Linked DNA regions of Schizosaccharomyces pombe. Changing the gene in region 3 together with the main gene of any one other region gives a genetic interaction. Each region holds a gene or a part of one and is shown on either strand. Other genes may lie near its edges.

Region 1 (6,470 bases), on a different chromosome or scaffold from region 3:
GTACAAAAAATGTTAGGCTTAGTTACCCTCGTTGGGGCGATTTTTTGCCGCTTCGTTCCAAAAATCAGATCTGAGTTTATCTAGACGATTAGATGGTTAGCAATTTATTTAATAGTTTTACGCAAAGGGAAAACATACAGCACCAGCAAACATAAAGAGTGAGATACAGTTCGTAGTATAGCATCTCGATAATAAAAATCCACTTGTAGGGAACTTCATAATGTTCCAACGCAAAGAATATTGGAAGTAAACCAAGCAGTACCCACCAAGTTTGGATGAGCGCAATGCTGCATAACCACCAGTAACTAATTTTATAAATTTTTTTAATCTCTTCCAAGGGAAGAACTTGTGGTTTTACCTCTTGTAGGTTTGCTGCACCACTTGCGGCTTCATAACTGGGCAAAGTTTCCTCCATTGTGCAATATCTAATTTGTTAGAATGAAATTAAGATGAAATACATAGGCAACTATAAAAGCGACTAAAATCAAACTAAAAAAGAAGGTCTGTTTAAATAACAGTCGCAAATTTGTGAATTGAGCGTGCAGCATTCTCACCTACCTTTCTCAATCTGCAGAGGTAAGAGATCCAAAGAAGGCTAATTTATGTACTTAAGTTTTTTGTTTTAAAGAAATTGGAAAAGAACAAAGGAGTAAGCCTCTTATAAGCAACTGTTGAGGGCATTATGTATGCATATACAAATGCCCTTGACGACAAAACAAATACTATAGAATTCGCTCAACAATACGCAGAAAAAAAAACCGTACAGCTAAACGTCTAGCCACCCCTGGCTTAGCTATATTGATTTTGTAAAAATAGACTCAGAAGTAAAGATTACGCTATCTTTACGACACCATAACTGACAATGTTTTGCTAAAAGAAAACTAATTCTTCGCTCCAAAAACTCTTGGAATTTGTTTAATCAATTGATCAATTAACGAAAAAGTTTATGTAGCGATTTCGTGCCATACTCGAGAAATGGCTTATTGAAGGTTTGGAAAAGTAAATAATAAGAGCGATTTACCAGCTTACAACTATTTTCGGACATTTGAGGGTCTCTAACTTCAAAAGAAAAGGAATTTATTTCGGTATAAACTGTTCATGTTTAGACAGCTTCATTTTAAAAAATATGCTGGTTTTTTCATTAAAGATATTTTCGGCCTCATACTTTTGAGATGTAGCATTTTGTTTTAGCTAAAAAACATGTTACTCATTGAAAAAAATAAGCTTAACAAAACGAAAGTAAGTGGTTCGTTTCTCTAAGCTTAAATTAAGGACGCACATTACGCATATCTTAAAATGATATTTCAGGATCTTTGTGATAACGAAGCCTAACCACAACCATATAGGATTTGTATTATTTCTTGCTTTATTACATACCATTGCTCAGTTCTGAGTACAATTAACAAACAAGAAAATATTAAATTTATTGAAGTAATAACTTTTTAACGATTTTTTAAGTAAACGACTTCATTTCTCCTTCTTTTCGTGTTCTCCCAGAGTTCAGTCAATTGTTGCTGAAACAAGAGTTTTTAGCTTTATTCCTTGTCAGTATCAAACTTTTCAGCCATTTTTTTATATTGATATTCGATTTTGAAACGAATATCACTTTTTTTCAAAGAGTTTTTTGCCAAACGTGTTTCCAACGCGTTGTTTTTCTCTAGAGTAAACAAGGTACCTTACCCCAACAACACTCTGAGTTTTTTTAAGCTAACGTTTGAAAAGGTTTCGGTAAACTGTATCTAAGGTATTTTTACGAACATAATCGTAAGTAAAAACGGACATAAGTCACGGCTAGAACTTTTGGATGTCAATGGTTAACGATATATATATTGATCAGACATATAACTGCGGAAAATACAGCTTAAGGAAGGCGCTAAAACGAGATTTTTCTGTTAATTTGATTTTGTCGAAATTCATTCTTTCCGTTTCTTAAGTACAATATATCGACAGTCATTTTAAAGATTTGACTTTTGTGAATATGTTTTTAGGTTTGGATCTCTCAACTCAGCAGCTCAAGGGCGTGGTCATTGATGAGTCTTTGAACGTGCATCAAGAGGTTGCCGTCGATTTTGATCGGGATCTAAGTGATTACAACACTATCAAAGGGGTCTACAGGAATGGATATGAGGTTTTTGCTCCAGTATGTATGTGGCTAGACGCCATCGATTTACTGTTTGAGAGACTTAAGGCTTCTGTGGATGTTAGCAAAATACAAGCTATATCTGGTGCCGGTCAGCAACATGCAAGCGTTTTCCTGCTTAAGGGAAGTAAAAAAGCCCTCAATTCGTTGGATGCCAAATCTTCTTTAAAACAACAATTGGAAAGTCTCATTCATCCAACATCTCCAAATTGGCAAGATGCCAGTACTACCAAAGAATGCGAGGAGCTTGAATCTTGCATTGGTGGAGCCAAAGCACTAGCGGACCTTACTGGGTCTAAAGCTCACCTACGCTTTACTGGACCCCAAATCAAGCGTTTTCGTCGTTTGCACCCCGAGACATACGAAAATACCGAACGAATTGCACTTGTCTCTAATTTTCTAGCCTCGGTACTTCTGCAAACCGAGGCACCTTTAGACATCAGTGACGTTTGTGGAATGAATCTCTGGGACATTCAGAATGAGAAATTCGATATTCGCTTGTTGGAAGAAGTTGCTGGTAATTCTAAAGGACCCGACTTGGCTAACAAACTAGGTACGGTTGAGATTAACGGGGCAAAACATCTAGGACCAATTGGGAAGTATTTCGTTAAGAAGTATGGGTTTTCTCCTAACTGTCAAATCATTCCTTTAACTGGAGATAACCCTGCCACTATTTTATCCCTTCCTTTAAGACCGGGAAAAGATGTACTATTATCATTGGGTACTAGTACTACTGCTCTAATGGCTACTCAAAACTATGTGTGTTCTCCAGAGTATCACATGTTTGCTCATCCTGTTACGCAGAACGTAAGTTGAACTTGACTTTCTTTTGGTGAAGTAGTTGTTCAAAACTCATCATTTTCTCTGGTTTTCTAACTAACATGGACTTTAGCATTATATGGTAATGTTATGCTATAAAAACGGTAGCTTAGCGCGGGAACAGGTAAGAAACACAATCAATGAAAAATATAATGTTTCGGACAATACCAGTTGGGACCGCTTTAATGAATCGATTTTGAACCCCAACATTAAAGGTGCTGGTGAAAAGAAACAGCTCGGTCTTTTTTATCCACAAAGGGAGATTTTACCCGCAGTTGGACCGGGTACGTGGAGATTTGCAATCCAAGGCACCGAGTTGTATCAGGTGGATAAAGATGAAGAATCATGGGATTATCCAGATGAGGATGCTTCTGCCATAGTTGAAAGTCAAAATCTTGATATCCGCATGCGGATTACTCCTTTGCTAACTGGTATACCACAACCTGATCGTGTTTATGTTGTAGGAGGAGCTAGTCGTAACGAGGCTATTGTGTTTAAAATTAGCCAGGTTTTGGGATGTGATGTTTATCGGCTAAAACACGGCGGTAGTAATGCCTGTGCTGTTGGCGTAAGTGAACGGAAAATGTTGTTAATTAATAGTTACTGACCATCAATTTAGGGCGCTATCAAGGCTGCATATGCAATGAATGGAAAAGGATTTACCTTTGAAGAATATGTAAACAAATCTTGGGATGAGTCCAAGAAAATTGAACTAATCATGAATAAACCATCCGCCCAAACTTATGAAGAATATGGAAAGCTTTTACCTTTCCTCAAAAAGGCTGAAGACATTGCGATTCAACAGTCAGATATCCGGCATTGAATTGATTAAATGCTTTTCCATTTCGCACTTGATTATGTGATTAGCTATTGATATAACGAGATTATTAATGAAAGCGAAATCCACTTTTTTTTTTAAAAAATATGAATAAACCTTAGGATACAAAATGATAAACGTTTCCTACATGAACATTTTTTTGAGCTATCGTTTTGAGAGCTTTGAATCACGAGTCTAAATTAAGACAAATAAATATGTAACATAAAGTAGTCATACACCATATTATTAAACAAATTTTTGCATACGCTTTTACATATAAGTAACACAATTTAAGCAGGAAAAAGCGTTTAAACATAAACAAATATAAAAAGGCTTGAGTAACAAAGACAATTTTTAAAAACATACACAAGTTATTTATTTACAAAGGAGTGTAGGGTTGCTGTAAGGTTAGTAGATAGAATGCAATATTTTAAGGTACATTTTCTTTTCAAGTAATGAAGTACCATGGACGAAAAGGGAAATTGCAAAAAAATAATTAGAATAGAATAGAAATCGTCAGCTAGAGAAGTGCAAAGTAATAAAGCGGTAGTTGGAAATACATTAATACGAATATGGGATAGAAATATTACACGAAAGAAAAACATAAAAATTAAAAGAGTGCATAGGGAAAATTAGAGTCGTTATTGATCCAAAAATGATTCCCAACGCTCAATAATTTCTTTTTGAGATTCAATTGCAGATTCCAACCACGTTTCAACACTAGCTTTGAGATCATCAACTCTACTGGTTGTGAGAGAACTCAAATCTCGTTTTAACAGAGTTGTTGATTCCGAAAACTCTTTTTCCAGATCAGCAGCTTTTGCTCGATATTTTTCGTATTGTTCTTCCAAGTAAGGGAGTGATTTTTGCTGAGATTTCGCTTGCTTTTTACATTTCTCAAGTTGAGTTTTAGCACGAGAAACAGCTTGAACTGAAGATTGCCATGTCTGCCACAACTTTTGACGTGTAGTAAAGGCATTTTTGGCACTCTCCACGTACCGAATGTACTCCTCCAATGTAGTGCCCAGTGTCAAATTGTCTTGAGCAACCTTACGTTCTTGTACAAATCGAAGCTCTACCTGGAGTTGGGAAAGACCATCAAACTTGGATGATAAGGTGGGCTCTAAATCAACTAAAGATAAATTTCCAACAGCCTCGCCAAAATCATGGATGGCTGAAGCGAACTGTATGCGTTGATCTATGGATAAAAGAAGCGCGTGATAAACCGACTTTAGTTGAGTTTCCAACGAATCAAGTGTATCCTTTGCTTCAATTAAAATTGGATCCTGTTCGGAAAATTTAGAAGATCCAGAGGTATGGAAGGCGGAGGTGAATGAGTCAAGTAAACCAGATGTTGAGGGACCTGAGCGCAAAGGACTTGATGAACTCTCAATGAGAGTAGTACGATGTGTCATTCTAGGGTCAAATGTCTCTGCTTCAAGAAACAACTTAAATGAGTAATCATCACGTAGAACCGGATGGGCAGATATTTTGCGAAGCATTACCTCCAAGGCTGCTCGTCGCTGTTCAATAAATTCATCATCAAAACGGCCTACAACCTGCTTTTCCGGGATGGGAGGAATGATACAACCCGGATGATTATTAGAAAGCAATTGATAAAGAAAAGCAAAATCATTATATCGTCTTTGTACAGTCACATTGCTAACAGAAGGTTGATTGTGTTCCTCTAAACGAGTGGAAACCGAATATACGGTATGCGATTTAGTGATTTCCTTAACGGTATGAGGGTCATGAACTTGGATGTAAAACGGGGTAAGAGATTGAGGTGCCGCTGCCGGGTGCGCCTTCTGATTCTCCGTATCTGTTAATGAGGTTGAACCTTGCTTCTGGGAGGAGGCAGATGAGACAGTGTGTGTAAAATTTGGAGCAGAAGATGAGGCAGCGTCTAAAGTATCTACCGTCTGTTCTGAATTTGGTATAGTGGGATTTTCCGTTGCTCCGATAGGAGAAGGGGAAAAGGAGTTCACTTCTGAGATCCAAGGCTTATTTGCAGAAAAATCTGCATTCAAAGCGGGACTAGATCCTTTTAACGGATTAATTTTTGTATTTAAACCAACTTCCAAACGGTTGTTTTCGGGTGCCATAGAAGGTGCATCAGAAAATTGCAAGGGACCTAAAGGTGCAGAATCCAAAGTTAACGTTTCAAACGGAAGAGATTTCAAATTGACGCTTCGTTTCCTAGGAGATGTATAGATATGAGTTTTTGGTGGAGAAGCTTGAACATTCGGCGACTCTTCTTCCACTCCTTCAGCTGAGGGCTCTTGGTCGGTTTTTGGAGGGTTCAGTGGAGAAACGGAATCTGCGAATGGATTAAATGCATCGTCTTCTTCATATATATTATGCCCAAGCATGATGGTGGCCGGTTGGGTTTTTGGATCTGATCACTGAAATCGTGCCTGAAATGGTGATGCGCAGCCCAACGACGACTAGCGAAAAATAACGATGGTTAAATACGTTTAGCAATGCGGGGTGACTTGCGGTGCAACTAGATAAGTGTCAACAATTCAAGTTTCTAATTCCTTTTAAGGCTACATTAAATTATATTTAGCTTGTAGAAGCAGTATATTGCGTTATACAGTATTGTGAGTGGTGGGTGATAATATATTTATCATTGTAACAGCTAATAACTGGACTGAGAATGATGCTCTGTTCAATCTAGACTTCTAATTTTAA
Region 2 (5,754 bases), on a different chromosome or scaffold from region 3:
AAGGTATCATTTTCTCGATTGCTGTTTTGCTCATGTTATGTTTTTATGAAAAAAAGCCATGCTGTTCAATAAAAGAGGAAAGGAAGATTTTGGAAGTTTTATAGTTGAATGAGTTCATCTATAAATATATACATATATACATATATATAATATACAAAATATTTTTTCTTTGAGGCTTGAACTATAACTTTACAACTGTCACTTTCATTCTTACATTGTACAGCTGCCTGTATAATCTGTTTCCATTGTAGAGTTGAAATAGTACAGTAGCTTTTCTTTCTGCCAAATATTTACAGTAGTGTAGCAAGAAGCCACTATACGAGTTTTAGGAATTTATTCCGCATTGCTTTGCACTGTCCTGCGGTTTGCTATTTTAGCCAGTCGTCGTTCTTGACAAATCGGCGTTCGATCTTTAATGCCCGTTGAGATCGATTGCGTAATGCTACAACCTTATATTGAGTGTAAGCACTACCCCACAATTCGTATATATACTGTACCAACTCACTGTGTGATTCTCAACTTCAACATATCTTCCAAATAGTCAACGTATAATCAACAAAGCTCGGGACCTTGCCTAAAAGTATCTAAAACGACTTCCAAAAGCGTACCTCGAACTTGTTAAGTTTAAGGTAAGTAAAAGTGAGTATGCAAAACGATCAAGTTACATCCCAATTTGCCAGAAAAAATATTTTAAAAATGAATAAACCGACGTAAATACTACTCTTGAGACCTTTTTATACACACGAAAGTCGATATTTTTTTTGGAAAAAAGTCTTGACATAAACAGCTACGCCAGTCTTTATGTACCGTACCCGTTTCTCCGAGGTCACTAGGTACAGGACTTTCTGAAGGAATATTTTATAAGAGATGCTATACGCATATGCTTTTTTATGCTTAGAATCGGCATGAGGAGTTTGTTTGTAACCAGGATGTCGAGTAGCTTTGCTTTGCTAGTCAGTCCGTATAAACGTTATGGTGTAGGATGCGGCTACTCATGTTTGCATATATATACATATTTTATTTTCAACAAATTTTTCTAACTTTTGATATAGTGTCTAGTATCTTCTGAAGAAAAGAAGAATCAACCTTTCAACTGGACATTTTCTATTGAAATTTCTTTTACCCCCCTCTCTGTCTCACACACACTCTCTCTATTTTTTTTAAATACCCGTGTTCTCTACTTTGCTTTGCGAATTTGTACCTTTCAAAGATGTTTGCCAAAGTAGCTTTCAAAAACTTTACTCCCCTTAAGAGTATCGCTCCCCGTTCTTTTTCTACGACCTCCAGTCGCGCATTCAAAGTAGCCGTTTTGGGTGCTGGAGGAGGTATTGGCCAGCCTTTGTCAATGCTTTTAAAACTGAACGATAAGGTTAGTGAATTGGCCTTGTTCGATATTAGGGGAGCTCCTGGCGTTGCTGCCGATATTGGACATATCAATACCACTTCCAATGTTGTTGGCTATGCTCCTGATGACAAGGGACTTGAAAAAGCCTTGAACGGTGCTGATGTGGTCATTATTCCTGCTGGTGTTCCCCGTAAGCCCGGAATGACTCGTGATGATCTCTTTGCTACTAACGCATCGATTGTGCGGGACCTTGCTTTTGCAGCAGGTGAAACTTGTCCCGAAGCCAAATATCTCGTTGTCACTAACCCCGTAAACTCTACTGTGCCCATCTTTAAAAAGGCTTTAGAACGTGTTGGCGTTCATCAACCCAAACATTTGTTTGGTGTCACCACACTTGACTCTGTTCGTGCCAGCCGTTTCACCTCTCAAGTCACTAATGGCAAGGCAGAACTTCTTCATATTCCTGTTGTTGGCGGTCATTCCGGTGCGACCATCGTACCTTTGTTGTCCCAAGGCGGTGTTGAATTGACTGGTGAAAAGCGTGACGCACTTATTCACCGTATCCAATTTGGTGGTGATGAGGTTGTAAAGGCGAAGGCTGGTGCTGGAAGTGCGACCTTGTCTATGGCCTATGCCGGTGCTCGTATGGCCTCCTCCGTACTCCGTGCTTTGGCTGGTGAGTCTGGCGTTGAGGAATGCACCTTTGTGGAGTCCCCTCTGTACAAGGATCAAGGAATTGATTTCTTTGCCTCTCGTGTAACTTTGGGTAAGGATGGGGTTGACACCATTCACCCTGTTGGTAAAATCAATGATTATGAGGAGAGCCTTCTTAAGGTAGCTTTGGGTGAGCTGAAAAAGAGCATTACGAAGGGTGAGCAATTTGTAGCATAATCTTTTATGAATAACAGAAATGATATGATATTCTTTATGAATGTTTGTTTTCTCTTGCTTCTTTCGTGTGTGTTATTTCTTTTACTTTAGTCAAAAAGTAATCTGTATACTGCATTCATAGTGTAGGTATGAATGTAAAAATTATGTTACAAGGTTTCCTTTTATATGTGCGGTTGTATAGAAATTTCATATCTATTGAATTCCGTTTTTACAGTCGAATAGATGAGGGTTTTCAATATGCGGAGTTTTGCGAAAAGCGATGATTCAAATTTACAATAACCACTAAAAGAAAATTGTTAAACAAGTAATAGATAATAAGTTTTCCATTCATTCGACATTTGCGGTTCTTGAGTTGTTGGCCTTATTTATCTAGTATCGTTTCAAAGCCATCAATTTAATAAGGCCATGGCATATAAGACAGAACAATTGTTCTTTGATTAATTCTTTACAAACTAAACTTTGATAATGATATGCTACAGAACTTTCAATAGCATTGTAATATTAACTTCTCTGACCAACCCAAGTTGAACTTGCAAAAAGCCATCCATTACTTACATCTTAATAGAAATGGCGATTACAAGTGAAAAAAAGAAAAATTTAAAGTCATTGGATAAAATTGACATAAAATTAGTAAGAAATTTTTTTTTTAATTTCAAATTATCGTGCAATTTACTTACAAATAATCAATAGCTAGAGAAAACAATTAGAGCCCTGCTGCAGCACATTCGATCCTCTGATAAACCTATTGAAAAAGAAAAGGTTTATATTCAGGTTAATACATTCCAACCCGTTGAGAAAGAGTCGCTTAGAAGACCATCAAAAGTGTAAGTGAGCATTAATGATGAATTAAGTTTCCTGAAGTAATAAGATCAACAATAAAATTTTTGTTCTTATAATTACTTAAAACCTTAAGCTTCTACTGCTTGTGCAGAAATAAAGAGGTATTACGGTTTTGTTGATTTGCTAATAAATCAAGCTTGTTGTAACATTCATAGAATCGATGCGTGTTCTTCATTAAAATTATAAGGTACTAACTATTTTACAGATTCCTTCCGCACAGGATAATGCATGTAACAGATGCTTGTTTGATTGTGAAAGATTCACAGCAGACATATCAAGATCTGGTGGAGCAACAAGGGCTTGACGAAGTCATTACAAAAGTACTTAGCATCCCGAGATTGAAATTAAAGTATAAAACAATCCGAGAAAAATGTGAGCTACGAGACTCTCACAACCTTTTTTTGGTTGATGATCGTGTATTAAAATACATCCCCCTATTGATGGGGAAAGTTTTTGAACAGAAAAAAATTAAGCCATTTCCTATTTCTGTTTTACAAAAGAAAGAGACTTTGCGTAATCAAGTTGCTCGTTGTCTTCATTCTACTTATCTTAAGTTATCTGCCGGCACTAGTCATACCATTCTCTGTGGTTTGGCCACTCAAACCAATGAACAATTGTTGGAGAATATTACGACTGTATTGAAGTGTCTGCTAACTAATTTCATTCCGAAAGGGTGGTCTGCAATTGATAATGTTGCGATTAAAACAGCTGACAGTGCCTCTCTGCCAATTTGGACTAGTGACACCAATCTTGCTGCTCATAAAAGACACATTGTGCACATTCAAGATGCAAGACCTCTTAAGAAAAGTGAACTGCGTGCTCAAAAACGGGGTTCTTCTGGAGAAGGCAAAGGGAATAAGTGAAACTGACTTTCGCTTTCCTAAATTGAAAAAAAAAAGTATTTTAAAATAATTACCATTTTTCTACTAAGGCTAGAAGAAAGAGTTTTGACAATGTATTTATAAACACCATTTGACTTTGCCTGTTTCAAATTTCTGATACATTTCTTTCCTTCGATGTTAATTAGTTATGTGAAAAAGCTTTGAGTGGCTGAAAGCAAAAGGGATTTACAAGGGCACGTCTTTTATAAACGGGTATTTTGGACTGAGTAATAAATAAGGGTTTTTGTGTATAACAAGTGTCATGGACTATTGTCATGATTTTGGAACAAAATCTACACCGTCTTGTGTTTTGTAGTATTATTTTTTTCTCGTAAATAACATGTTATATTTACATAATCTATCTGCTTATATGTAGCTTGTTCATTCAGAAGGATTTTAGTACCTTTAGATACTGAAAGTAGTATATAGAGCTATTCTCTACCACTCCAACGCTCAAGCAATTGACAACATCCAAACTTGTCCAAAGTAAAGAAAATTTAGTGTCAAAATGTTTTCTTGGAGTATTTTATTTATAGTTTGCTTTTCTTTAGTATCAGCATTTAAAGATACTTCGCCGATTTTCTTATTTTCTACGAACTCGTATGTCCTGCATCCATCGATGGCATTATACTGTGTAAATTATTTAATCTAACTAAAAACAGCAAACTCCCCAAATCATCCGATGATTCTTCAATATCCACTTGCCCTATGATGTTTTTTGACGCCGCAATTGAGGCACTTTCGACATGCAATACAGCTACCTTAATTATACATCAACCAGGCCTTGAGGTTAATGATTTTCAGTTGGGAGCTTTTAAACATTTAAAGCGTGTTTCTTTGCAATCACCCTATAGCTTACTTCTTCCTTATTCCAAGGAGTCTTTGGACTCACAAGAGTTGGTGCATTCGGCAAAGCAAAACTGCGACGTTGAGGTAGTTTACTTGGGTGGATCCTTTAATGCTTTTCCTCCTCTTCAAAATGATCGCATAACTGTTGTTTACATGAATGAACTGTCAAATGAAAGTTATCATAGAAGTGCACAATTAATGGAATTGGATGAAATGTTCTACAACTTACAATCTACCTTGGAACAAGATGCTCAGTGGAATGTAATTATAGCCTCTTCTCCTTTGAATAACTCAGATTTTGAAGGATTTAAGGTTGATGCTAACGAAGAAGAGGCCAATGCTGAATTTGTAATTCAAACGCTAGGTGGTCTCAACTCAGGGAAGAGTGCTCTTCAACACGGCCAATTGGCTTCTTTACCTGATCAAAATGAGGGATCACAAACCACGCTTGCTATGCACCAAACAAGGAAGCACCCTGTCACCGACAATGGTGCGACGGGACTGTTTACCGAATATCAATTTTTTACTCCTGGTTTGTACATGGGTTATTTGGCATTGGCTGTATTGGTTCCAACTTTGTTTATTTCTTGCCGTTTACTTTCCTCTATTCAAATCAGCTATCACGCTTTTGATAGTCCTCGACGCAAACAGTTATAAACCTCTTCTTAAGGTGAATAAGCTGAAGAAGTTTCAATTTATTTCTTTCTTTCATAATTGATACATCTCACACTTAATTTAGAAGAAAATTATTGTCATAAATGGTTCTTGATAAGTATAGTTTGGTGACATTTTTACCTTTCAGCGCAATTCCTTAGGTGTCCAAATGGTTAGAATGATCTTTGTTTTTTAATATATTGAAGTCTATTAAATAGTTTTTTGGACTGAAGAATTTATTTCTTGTGATGAGACAAACTTTATAACCATAATATTGTTTTTTCTTTATGATGA
Region 3 (5,627 bases):
CCTTAAAATAAATAAAGGAATACCGGAAAAACATAAAATCCCTCTCATTTCATCTAAACAATTTAGCGTAACCTCAAAAAGATCGCAAAATGGGTCTTCAGGATCCAATTCTGATGCTAATGGTAGGAAAAATGGCCAGAAAAATGATGATTCAAAAAAGAAGGGATTGAATGGCAATGATCCGAAAAAAGTTTTTGAAATAGCCTTAAATGGCAACACTATTTTAGGTGGAATTTTAGTTGCCTATATCCTTTACAATGTTCTCTCGCCTAATGCAAATATGCAAGAAATTACTTGGCAAGATTTTCGACAACAGTTTTTAGACAAGGGTTTAGTTGAACGGCTAGTTGTTGTTAACCGCAATATGGTTAGAGTTATTTTGAGAGGCGGTGTAGCTTCAGGTTCAGGGCAGTACTATTTTTCAATTGGTTCCATCGACTCTTTCGATCGAAAACTAGAGGATGCACAACGTCAACTGGGTATTCCACCTTCTGAATTTGTCCCTGTCGCTTATCATGACGAAGTCTCTGTTCTTGCTACTTTATTGTCTTTTGCTCCCACCTTACTGATCATTGGAAGTGTCATTTATTTATCGCGACGGGCTTCGGGTGCCGCAGGAGGTGGTCAAGGTGGCATTTTTGGAATTGGTAAGAGCCGAGCGAAGATGTTTAATCATGAAACTGATATCAAAATAAAATTTGCTGATGTCGCTGGCGTTGACGAGGCTAAAGAAGAGATTATGGAATTCGTCAAATTTTTAAAAAATCCCAAGTTTTATGAAAGGTTGGGGGCTAAAATTCCTCGTGGTGCCATTCTTTCTGGTCCTCCTGGTACCGGTAAAACTCTTCTTGCTAAAGCCACCGCTGGTGAAGCTAACGTCCCTTTTTTAAGTGTGTCAGGTTCTGAGTTTCTTGAAATGTTTGTTGGTGTTGGACCTTCCCGCGTAAGAGATCTTTTTGCTACTGCTCGCAAGAACGCTCCTTGTATTATTTTCATAGATGAAATTGATGCAATTGGTAAAGCAAGAGGACGTGGAGGACAATTTGGTTCCAATGATGAACGCGAAAGCACTCTTAATCAGCTATTAGTTGAAATGGACGGTTTTACGTCTAGCGAACATATCGTCGTATTCGCTGGTACTAATCGACCAGACGTATTGGACCCGGCACTTCTACGTCCTGGTCGATTCGATCGTCAAATTACGATTGATCGTCCTGATATTGGCGGTCGTGAACAAATATTTAAGGTCCACCTTAAGCATATTAAGGCAGCCGATAACATCGACTTAATTGCCAAGCGTCTTGCCGTCCTAACTTCTGGTTTTACAGGAGCTGATATAATGAATGTATGTAATGAAGGAGCGTTAATTGCAGCACGATCAAATAGTAATGAAGTCCAAATGGTACATTTTGAGCAAGCTATTGAAAGAGTCACGGCAGGTTTGGAAAAGAAGAGTAGGGTACTAAGTCCTGAAGAAAAAAACACCGTTGCTCATCATGAAGCTGGACATGCGGTAGCTGGTTGGTTTATGGAGTACGTCGATCCACTATTGAAGGTCTCAATCATTCCTAGAGCTCAAGCCCTTGGCTATGCTAGTTATTTACCCAAAGATCAGTATCTGATGAGTCGAGGGCAGATTTTAGATCAAATGGGAATGGCTTTGGCTGGGCGTGTTTCTGAAGAAATATTTTTTGGACCAGAAAAGATTACTTCGGGAGCTTCCGATGATTTTCAAAAAGTAACGCGCATGGCTCAAGCGTATGTGACCCAATATGGTATGTCTCCGACTGTTGGTACTATAGCTTATCCCATCGACACTCGGGAAACTGTTCAAAAACCATTTTCTGAGGCTACAGCTCAAATGATTGATGAAGAAATTCGAAAGCTTGTAAAGCATGCATACGAAAGAACTAAGAAACTTTTGCTAGAACATAAGCAAGGCTTAGAAAATATTGCTCAACGTCTATTACAGAAAGAAGTCATCACTTATAACGAAGTTGAGACGATTCTTGGACCAAGGCCATATGCATACAAACATTTAAATATTTCTGAACTTATGCGTCAGTCTGAGTATAAAAATGATCACGATCCTCGAAATCCACCAATCCCCCCATCTCCTCAACAACCTTCTGCCTAATTTGTCAATTTACTGAATTTAAATAAAGCGTTATGAATGAAAATAGTTACTTTCATGGATCTCATGATCAAAGTATTTGTCAATTGAATATCATATAGCTATTTTATCTATTTTTTCTATTTAATATTACAGAAGCTAGATAAATATACTTAACATCAATTCTTCTGAACTTTAAAAGGTTAATAGATTATTATTTTCTAACACAAAATAGCTAATATCGTAACAAACAAACTTGTGTTTAGTTTCGACCTTTAGACCAGCATGTCATAGGGAGCGTGATACTCAACAGTTACACGTTTGACACTAACCACTGTACTTTCTTACAAGTCCATATTTTATGATGGATCTGATTATTTCAACAATTTTATTAAGCTTATTTATTCATTTCTTCGATAAATTTGCAAAAAAAAGGACTATTGATGGGGTAATTTAACATATATACTTGTTGTAAAGAAAACTAATAATGTGAAAGGCTTATCGAATTTACGTTAGTGTTTCTAATAATAAAGATTTAAAGAAGAACAAAGAAATTTTAGAGCAGCTGCTTACTGTTAAGAAAGAGCTAAACGCTACTAGCAGTCAAGATCAGTTTGCTAAATGGGCCCGTCTGAATAGAAAGTATGAACAACTCAGTCAAGAGTGGGAAAAACAATCAGCCAATGTTAAAATTTTCCAAGATACTTTCAAGCGGGTTTTAAGCCTTTTTCTTTGGATTTTAACCCGTGGATTCCGGTTTTATATTCAATTCAAAGAGTCCAAAACACCTGTCTTTTTCCTCCCTGCATTCTTGCTTCCTTCTTGGGCTCTATGGGTGCTATCTCTTCCACGATCAATCTACGGTATGTTGTTTTTAATGAAAATTCTGAAAATCTTTTTTTTATTTTTATTTTCATTTATCACAATGGCAGCTGAAATACTAACATGGCATGTAGGATCGGTTAGCTTAACAGTTTGGAATTTTGCGGTTCAAAAAACTATTTCCGGGATATTTTGATCTCCAAATCATCAAAGACGGTGACTAATTTTAATATTTTATCATTTAGTTTAATTAACTAAAGGGAAAAAGATGCCATATGTATTTTCAGTAAAGTCATTTTATAAATGCGTTTTCTACTTCCTTTTCTCATAAGAAAGAATGCCATGGAAAGCATAGTTTACCATGCACGATTAATATTATGTTATTCCTTCACAAATTGTACACTTTATGTGCTCTACACTGGTTTTCATCTAAATTGTCATCGGATTTCTTATTTCTATGCCTACTAATTCATTTGCTTAATTTGACGCTTTCATATTTCTGATGCTGTTTATACCGAAAGTTTGAAATGGCAAATAGGTTATTTATTACACAGGACATCTAGAAAGGGAACGATGCAGGGTTTTGGAAAACATCATAAAGTTACTACAATGTTAATTAAGAAGGGCACAAAATTATGATTAAAATTTAAGCTGAACTTCGATCTTACCTTTTCCTTTTATGCAACATTTCCAACCGTTGTATGTTGTTTTTTTAATCTTCAAAATTTTCAGTACAAAGATAAATTGTTTCTTGCATTGATTTTTCGAGTAAATTAAGTTCATGATAAAAAATTTGTAAGACTAAACGAGACCTATTCTCTCGTTTAAGAGTCGGATCGCACAATAGAGTCTTATAAGCTTCAGCAGTCAACCCACCATTTTTGAAACGACTAATGCGCTTTTGACACAGCATCTGTAGAAATTCTATAGCCTTACAATAAAAAGAAAAACCAGAGAGTTGAGCAACAACCTTTTCTTTTTCTCCCTCCTTATGTGCTATAAACACAGCCCAGATTTCATTAAAATACTTTGTAAGCATTACTATATTCATATCGCACTTTTGGAATTTGATTTTGTAAATGCAAAAAAATAAATATAAGTAAAGCCCGTAACTGGGACCATGATCTGTTATTATATAAAGATCCATAGGTTGTCTTATCATTACTGAACGTAAAGTCTCAGACTTGTCATTTGCGTATGTAGTTGGGGTGACCAGCAACTCCTGGGTGTTGATTATTCTTTTTTTATGAATCCACTCCATATAAAAATTTCTGTTAGTTTCATAAGCAATCATTGTCATGTCGACGCGCCAAACTTTGCAAGCGGTATCAATAAATCCATACTGCGTGAACAATTCATCAGCGGCAAAGTTTCCGAAGGAGTTGAATATTTCGGACATCTTTCGTATATACTGAAAAGAAATAAATTCTATTTTGATATCGCCTTTATGATCATTTGACTCCTGACAATGTAGCGAAGCAATAGCTGGACCAGACTTGTGATTAAAAATATCGAAAAAGGGTATTAAAGATAAACCGTAGTAGCTGTTAACGTAAAAACACCTGCTTTGGACGAGAACACAAGTCTCTAAATACTGATTCCATTTTGGACAAAGCTGTTTGAGATCAGCATGTTTATAAAAGTAAGGGCGGACCAATTGATCATATTGATTTTTGTATACTCTTAAATTTGTATTTATTACATCAAGCATTGAGGTTCCCTCAAGACACGTTTTATCTTTCCATAATAATGGGGAATCAGGCATACAAGTTTCGTCCAAGGTGTTTAAATAAGCGTTCCACGGACTATCTGTTATATTTTCCAATATTACAGTTATAACGAGCATGACCAGCCCAACCTGATCTCTATTGTCAAAGTTAATATCATCAGACCGATTAGATTCATTAAAATGTGTATACAACGAATCTCCAAATCTTGAGTTGCGAGGACTCAGAATGATCCTTCTAGGAATCTTTGCTAAAACTTCAAGTTCATCTATATCAAAGGTAGAAAATATACCATCTCCTGCGACCCCACTTGAAGCGATATACAGTTTGGGTGAAATGTAAGCTTCGTGTTTTGCTAGCCATTCAAGTAAGGGTTGGTACTTCAAAAATTGCTTGGAATTGTTCATGCTTTATTTAACATGTTTTAATAAGTAGTTAATAATATTTTTTATGCGCTTTCCGGCAATTTTGAACATTTGAAAGTTAATATCTTTTCAAAGCAAATTTGATTTTAAGCGTAGGTAAATACTCCAACCTTCTGATGTACACATTGATTTTTTGAGTAAAACTTGAACGTATCTTAGAACAGAAGATAATTAATTTCTCAAATTATGTTTAATAAAGCACATTAGTCTGTTCAAACTTGATTTTTAATCCGCTACGCGTTTTCAACCTGTCCGATACAGAAGGGCAATGCAGGATGGATCGTAAATATAAAAACTACTATAAGAATATGATTGAATACGATTGAAAAGGGGTAATAAACAAACGCTTTAAATATAAAAAGCTTCTTCATGGTGATAATTTTACCAAGAGTTGTACAGACTTTTCGCAATAATGCTTTTTCATACAAATAAATTATTTCATTTATAAAACATTCATAATTAAACAGTAGATACTTCCATCAGTAATGGAGAGATGTAAAAAACTAAAAATAATATATGACATAGTTTGCACATTACTTC
Region 4 (5,714 bases), on a different chromosome or scaffold from region 3:
ATACTGAGGAATTTGTATACCGCATTGCCTTAAAATGCATGCCAACAGTGGTCTAGCTCGTTATTCGTCTCGACTTTTTTTTGGAATAATGCTTGCGTTTGCTAAGTATTTTGAGGAGGCAATTAATATCAGTATATCAATTATAAGAGAGGAATTTAGTATAATTGGAGTATATTTGCACGTTTTGAGTTGTTGATCGTAATCTTATTACTTCAGATGTTTTCATAGCGACTTCTGGTACCCATTGTATATTTATAATTATTGTAACAGTTTTTAACATTGCATTCTTTTTTTTTCTTGCTAAAGTAAATTCATCAAAATTTAGAGGTATTTCTATGAAAGATCTATCCATATCATGTAAATTTTTGTGTTGCCTACATAATCGAGCATCCAAACCTTGGTTGTCGGATACACCTTAATTAATCGGGGCACAGAAGAAATTGAAAAAAACAATAAGCAAAATAATTAAATTTTATGAACCGCAGTCTTAACAGTCATTATTATTAACCTGCTACTTCAAATGCGGTTTTGTTAATGACAGTAAAAAATACAAACACTTCAAAGTATTCAAAGATGAAATTTTCGGTGTGCATAAGCGTAAATAATCACAAAACTGAGAACAAACAGGTCATCAGTAAAAAAAGGCAAAATTTAGCCTTTAGGAAACTTTTTCTCTCTTTTTTTTGAACAAACGGATAACATCAGGGATTCGATATCTAGCAATAATAAAATAGTAACGTAGAAAACATTAACTAATAATAAATATACAAAAGATGTGTTGAGGCAAAGTCTTTCAATTCAATCAAATTAAATTGGTTTATTCCTAGGAGCGATATGATTTTTTTGGATTTCACGATTTTCTTTATCATTCTCCTCATGCTCTGGTGGATGGTGAATGTCACGAAGCCTTCGTAGTACAGGAGGTATAACATAATCTTTAACTGTGTCTGCCCAAATCATGTCCAAGTGTTCATAGCTATCAACCTTAACATGCTCCACCTCCGCAGGCAAAGCATTCAACATCGCTTGGATATCAACGAGTGAGTCGCTGCCTCCCCAAATAAGATAAATAGGGGTGCGAATATTATTTGTAGGGAATTTGGCAGCTTTGTAATATTTGAGGAAATAGTCATGACCAAGCTGGTCATTATCATACATTCTAAATTCTGCGCTTCTCATGATTTGAAACCAATGCACAAGGCACTTTACACTAGTATATGAATACAAATGGGCGAATGAAACCAAGCGTTGATAGGAAGAAATGTTTTGGCAAGACCAGTTAAATAACTGAGACAAACAGTATGCAAGGACTGCATCAAAAAATTTTGGAGCTGGATAAAAATGTCAGTGAAATTATTAAAAGAAAAAAACCGTACCTAAAAAGCTTTGCCAGAATCCGGCAGACGGCAAAATAGATTTTCGTCCGAAAAGGAAAAATAATATGGAAGGTCTGGCTTTTACAAAGGCATCTACAACTCTGTTATGTAAACCTTTTGGACTAATTGCAGGTGCTAACGCTATCAAAGAGTTGATTTTGTCATTCAACAGGGGATGGATACTCAAAGAAGCAAAAGCTTGAGCAGTGCCCTGAGAAAATCCTATATAAGTGAGCTTTGTTTGCCCAGAAGTTTTTAGAATATAGTCAATGGTATCGGGAATATCGTATTGAGCAAAATCGTCAATGCTAAAGTCCCAAAATTCCTTGTCAGTAGAGTCGAAGCGAAGATGTTGACGACTGTATTTATTTCCTCGATTATTTCCGAGCTTAAGCACAATTAGTAAATAATTTTTAAAAAAGAAAACTCGAACGAAAACCATATTAACTTTACCAGTAACTAATTATTTAAAATATGATAAATTGAACGCAGCAAAATACTTACCCAAACATCGTATCCTTTATTTACGAGATCAAATACTAGGCAATTTCTGGGGTCTACATTACAAACCCAGACTTCCGAATTCATCAAAAGACCGTGATGACAGTAAACGACCGGAAGCTTTTTGGGATGAGGAGAACCAATTCTTCCAGGGGAATCCTTCGATATCCTATGAATACAAAGTATGTAATCATCCTCTGTTCTAACGAGATGGTCCTCAACATAATACCCAGAAATTTTGCACATTTCTCGTATGTCAGCTGCATCGTGAATTGCCTTTGCCCTTTGAAGGCTAACGCTTCTCGACCTTGATCTTTTCTTTGAACGTTTTTTAATCTCATTTCGAACTACTGATCGATAAAACAAGCCTAGCGTATTGTGAATCATGAAGGCCAGGCATGAAAGTAATTTTTCAAAGATTACAAAGAAAAACCCCAAAAATAGGGCCATATACTCTTCCCTTTATTTGTCAGTTAATATATTAAAAGATTTGCATACCATTTTAGACGCTGAATAAACGGTAACTGAATCATTTCGCATATTGCGTGGAATGGAGGTACTAAACCTTGCCCTCTGCCAAACAACTATTTTTGGGGGGACTTTTGAAATTGGTTTAAAAGCAATAGCCTTTTAAATTTATTTTAGTATTTTGCAAACAGAGATAAATATTTTGTTTGTTTTCTATTTTTTTACAAGGTTGTCGGTCTATAAGTTCGATTTTGTTAACAAAGCCTTGGGTCATAATTTTGAACAGAATTTGCCCACCGTTTGATAGTTTCATTTCCGACAAGCTAACAACTACTTTTAAGGCTATGAGTTCACTAAGCGATCAATTATCTTCGTTTAAAAAGAAAGTCGCAAATCAACCTATTTATGCAAAACCTCAACCTCGTCAACCAGCTTCTCCGACTCCAACAGCTTATTTGAATTCAAATGATGGACATTCTTCTGCCGCTTCAAGTCCAGGGTCGTATTCCCTGAAGAAAAAGCGCTCAAAGACGTCTTTGGTTTACTCGCAACCCGCTGATTCTGGTGTTGGAACGCATTATTTATCACAGCTACACTATGCAGTTGAGTATTTAAAAGAGAGAAATGAGCCTAAAACGGCTGAGGAAATTGCTTCTTACCTGTCAACTCCATTGACTCCTATGTTACTCAATCTTTTGAAGAAAAATAATCGCATTTATTATGATGAAAGAAATGAAACGTTTACCTTTAAGCCATTGCATAACATTCGCTCAGGAGCAGGTTTATTAGCATATTTAGATTCACAAAAAACCCACGTTGGTATGAGTATCAAAGAGCTTCGAGACGGATGGCCCAACGTTACTGTTGAACTTGAAGAACTAGAAAAACAGGGAGAAGTGCTTTTATTACGTACAAGGAAGGATGGCGTTCCTAAAATGGTATGGAGAAATGACAAGAGCTGCGATTGTCATGTCGATAAGGAGTTTCAACAAGTTTGGCATGAGATTCCCATTCCACCCACTTTGGATTTAGCTTCTGAACTTGGAAAATACGGTTTAAAGCCCACTAGCGTGGATCCTTCAACCGTAAAGCGTGCTGGTCATAATCAAACGCCTAAACAAAAGAAGCCCAAAACTCGACGTGGAAAGATTACGAATACACACCTTAACATTCTTCGTGATTATAGCTCCATGAAACCTTGAAATCATATTAAGGATCCCATATTTTTTAACTAAAAACTGTGTTGCTTTTGGTATTTAATTTCATCCGGTTACTGTGTTGTTGTCTGGTACTGGATGTGTTTGAAAAAATAGCTATCTATCTTACATTCCTTTTTCCAAGATTTGCATGGACTGGACATATTTCCTCTTTGTTTCTTCTAATCTATTTGCAACTATGGAAGAAAACTCTATTGTTTAATGATGATGATTTTTTACATAAACTGTTAAACCTATATTAGCTGACAATTAGTCGGTATTGTTGACAAGTGCATTTATTGCTCTGTAGTTAATTTGCACTAGTATACAGTGACTAAGTAGACAATTACATTTAGTTTAAACAGAAATTCTTATCTTTCCCTTTTGTGCATTGTCGAAATAGAAAGATCAGTTATGTATTGAAAGGTGTGTTTATGTAGGTGAATGTTTTGTGGAAAGGAAAAAAAACGTATTTCTTCACTCATGCTAATAAATTGATTTCATTAGCATGCATTTTTGTAACGAAAAAATAAATTAATATTAGCTCCCGGCGGGACTCGAACCCGCAATCCCTTGATTAGAAGTCAAATGCCCTAGCCATTAGGCCACGGGAGCTAGTTAGTAGAACGTTATATTATGTATATTTTATATATAAATTTATAATTTATCACCATTTTTATCCTATACTGCTAACTCTAAAAGATGTAGAAATATATGGTAATTCGTAAATATAAGAAAGCAGAGTGCATGACTAAATAGAAGATCGATGTTGGTCACTTCAGTGCTTTCCTTTAAATACGTTTGCATTTTCGAGACAATAAAATTGAAACACCCGAGCATTTTGAGTCTCAGCTTACAACTGTTATAAATTATTAAGAAAGGAATCCAAGGTTTTGCAGAATTTCCATATGTGCTTCATTACTTTCTGCACGCTACAATCTCTATGATTTTTTAACTATATAGTGCCTTCAATTTTTGTCATTTACCATTAAAAGATATTTATTTTTTTACCCAAAAATTACTAATGAAATAAAACCTTTTGAACACAGCCAATGTAAGCAATGACATATCCCCTAAAACTTTAACAATTTCCCATCCTAATTTGCTTTTTTTTCTGCTCCTGTTTTGTACATTTACCACTTTTTTACGCAGATGTATTAAGTACGCATAAAGCTCAAAATACCCGAACAGTAGCCCACCAAATCTAAAAGACGCTGATTTTCTTCTTTATGAACACTTTCCCATGCCTTCAAACTTTCAAAAACAGGTACCGTATCTTCGGGAGTATCATGCATTAGTAATACGTCCTCGTGTGACTTCGTAAAGACGGACATACAAGCTTGGACGAGCTCGAAATCTCTTCTTTTAGAAAGCCTTCGTGTCATAATATTGATAAATAATATAAATTCTTCATAAGGCGGGTATGCATCCAATGACCGAATCTCCAAATCGATCTTTGCTGGCCCGAGGGATTTTAAGTACTCGAAAAACGCATCATCATCGTTTCCATGTAATAAAGTAGAAAACTCGGTGCCGGATACTTTTATGGAGGCAACAGCAGTCGGCTTTGAAATCTCAGTTGCTATAGGCTGCTTGGGCACTGTCGCTTCTGATTGATCCTTTAAGGAAGGCAAGAAAAACGGTGCTTTCTCGGGTACTTTGGGTACTTCCTTGGGAGCATTACGAGCCTTAATTGCTTCTAGATTAATCAAAGTTTGCCATTGAGTGCGTGGGAGTTTGCTAAGAGTTTGCAAGTTGGGATCGAGTTGATCCATCGTCCGATATGATATATCTTCTTCATCTTCAGCATTAGACTCGACATTTAGAGCGGCCTCTACCACAGATATTCCTTTTTCACCAGATACGGAAGGAGCTGAAACTTCAACAACATCATCAAGGCGAAGTGCCTTTGTAGAAACGTGTTTGAACATTGAAAGGTTCGTCCATAAGCTAATTCCCACCTGGTCCACATGCGTTGTTGCCAGATAATCACCAGTTGGTGCAAATGTCAAACTTGTGCATACACTGGGTGTAGAAATTGAATCAATTAAGTGACCAGTGGGTAGATCCCATGTGCGAATTGTTCCATCTAAAGATGCAGTAACAAGCCATCTGCCAGTATCGGAAAAATCAAAGCTGGTGAGACGATTCGAATGACCCCATAATTCACGAA

The links.
Region 1: mutations in get1 (region 3) and xks1 together harm fitness more than expected from each alone (negative genetic interaction), as found in Schizosaccharomyces pombe (2 studies listed by BioGRID).
Region 2: mutations in get1 (region 3) and SPOM_SPCC306.07C together harm fitness more than expected from each alone (negative genetic interaction), as found in Schizosaccharomyces pombe (2 studies listed by BioGRID).
Region 4: mutations in get1 (region 3) and tfa2 together harm fitness more than expected from each alone (negative genetic interaction), as found in Schizosaccharomyces pombe (2 studies listed by BioGRID).

What each region holds. Positions count from the first base shown.
Region 1 is NC_003421.2:702,285-708,754, reverse strand, and holds xks1 (xylulose kinase), read left to right. Parts: upstream 1-1,856; 5' UTR 1,857-1,978; coding exon 1,979-2,947; exon of another isoform or gene 2,948-3,032; coding exon 3,033-3,527; exon of another isoform or gene 3,528-3,578; coding exon 3,579-3,782; 3' UTR 3,783-3,945; downstream 3,946-6,470. Other genes in the region: protein meu15, read right to left, coding at 27-80, 139-415; retromer complex subunit Vps5, read right to left, coding at 4,418-6,148.
Region 2 is NC_003421.2:418,185-423,938, reverse strand, and holds SPOM_SPCC306.07C (U3 snoRNP-associated Cic1/Utp30 family protein), read left to right. Parts: upstream 1-2,768; 5' UTR 2,769-2,803; coding exon 2,804-2,866; intron 2,867-2,926; coding exon 2,927-3,060; intron 3,061-3,239; exon of another isoform or gene 3,240-3,281; coding exon 3,282-3,939; 3' UTR 3,940-4,310; downstream 4,311-5,754. Other genes in the region: mdh1 (malate dehydrogenase), read left to right, coding at 1,211-2,236; family protein BIG1, read left to right, coding at 4,466-4,557, 4,620-5,463. UniProt on the Schizosaccharomyces pombe protein: Involved in rRNA-processing and ribosome biosynthesis.
Region 3 is NC_003423.3:4,316,473-4,322,099, forward strand, and holds get1 (GET complex subunit Get1), read left to right. Parts: upstream 1-2,436; 5' UTR 2,437-2,474; coding exon 2,475-2,561; intron 2,562-2,609; coding exon 2,610-2,976; exon of another isoform or gene 2,977-3,069; coding exon 3,070-3,131; 3' UTR 3,132-3,647; downstream 3,648-5,627. Other genes in the region: m-AAA protease Yta12, read left to right, coding at 1-2,137; SPOM_SPBC16C6.01C (lysine methyltransferase), read right to left, coding at 3,648-5,069.
Region 4 is NC_003421.2:577,289-583,002, reverse strand, and holds tfa2 (transcription factor TFIIE subunit Tfa2), read left to right. Parts: upstream 1-2,445; 5' UTR 2,446-2,689; coding exon 2,690-3,547; 3' UTR 3,548-3,783; downstream 3,784-5,714. Other genes in the region: SPOM_SPCC1672.09 (triglyceride lipase-cholesterol esterase), read right to left, coding at 808-1,331, 1,377-1,764, 1,881-2,337, 2,376-2,410; U3 snoRNP-associated protein Utp21, read right to left, coding at 4,699-5,714. UniProt on the Schizosaccharomyces pombe protein: Recruits TFIIH to the initiation complex and stimulates the RNA polymerase II C-terminal domain kinase and DNA-dependent ATPase activities of TFIIH. Both TFIIH and TFIIE are required for promoter clearance by RNA polymerase.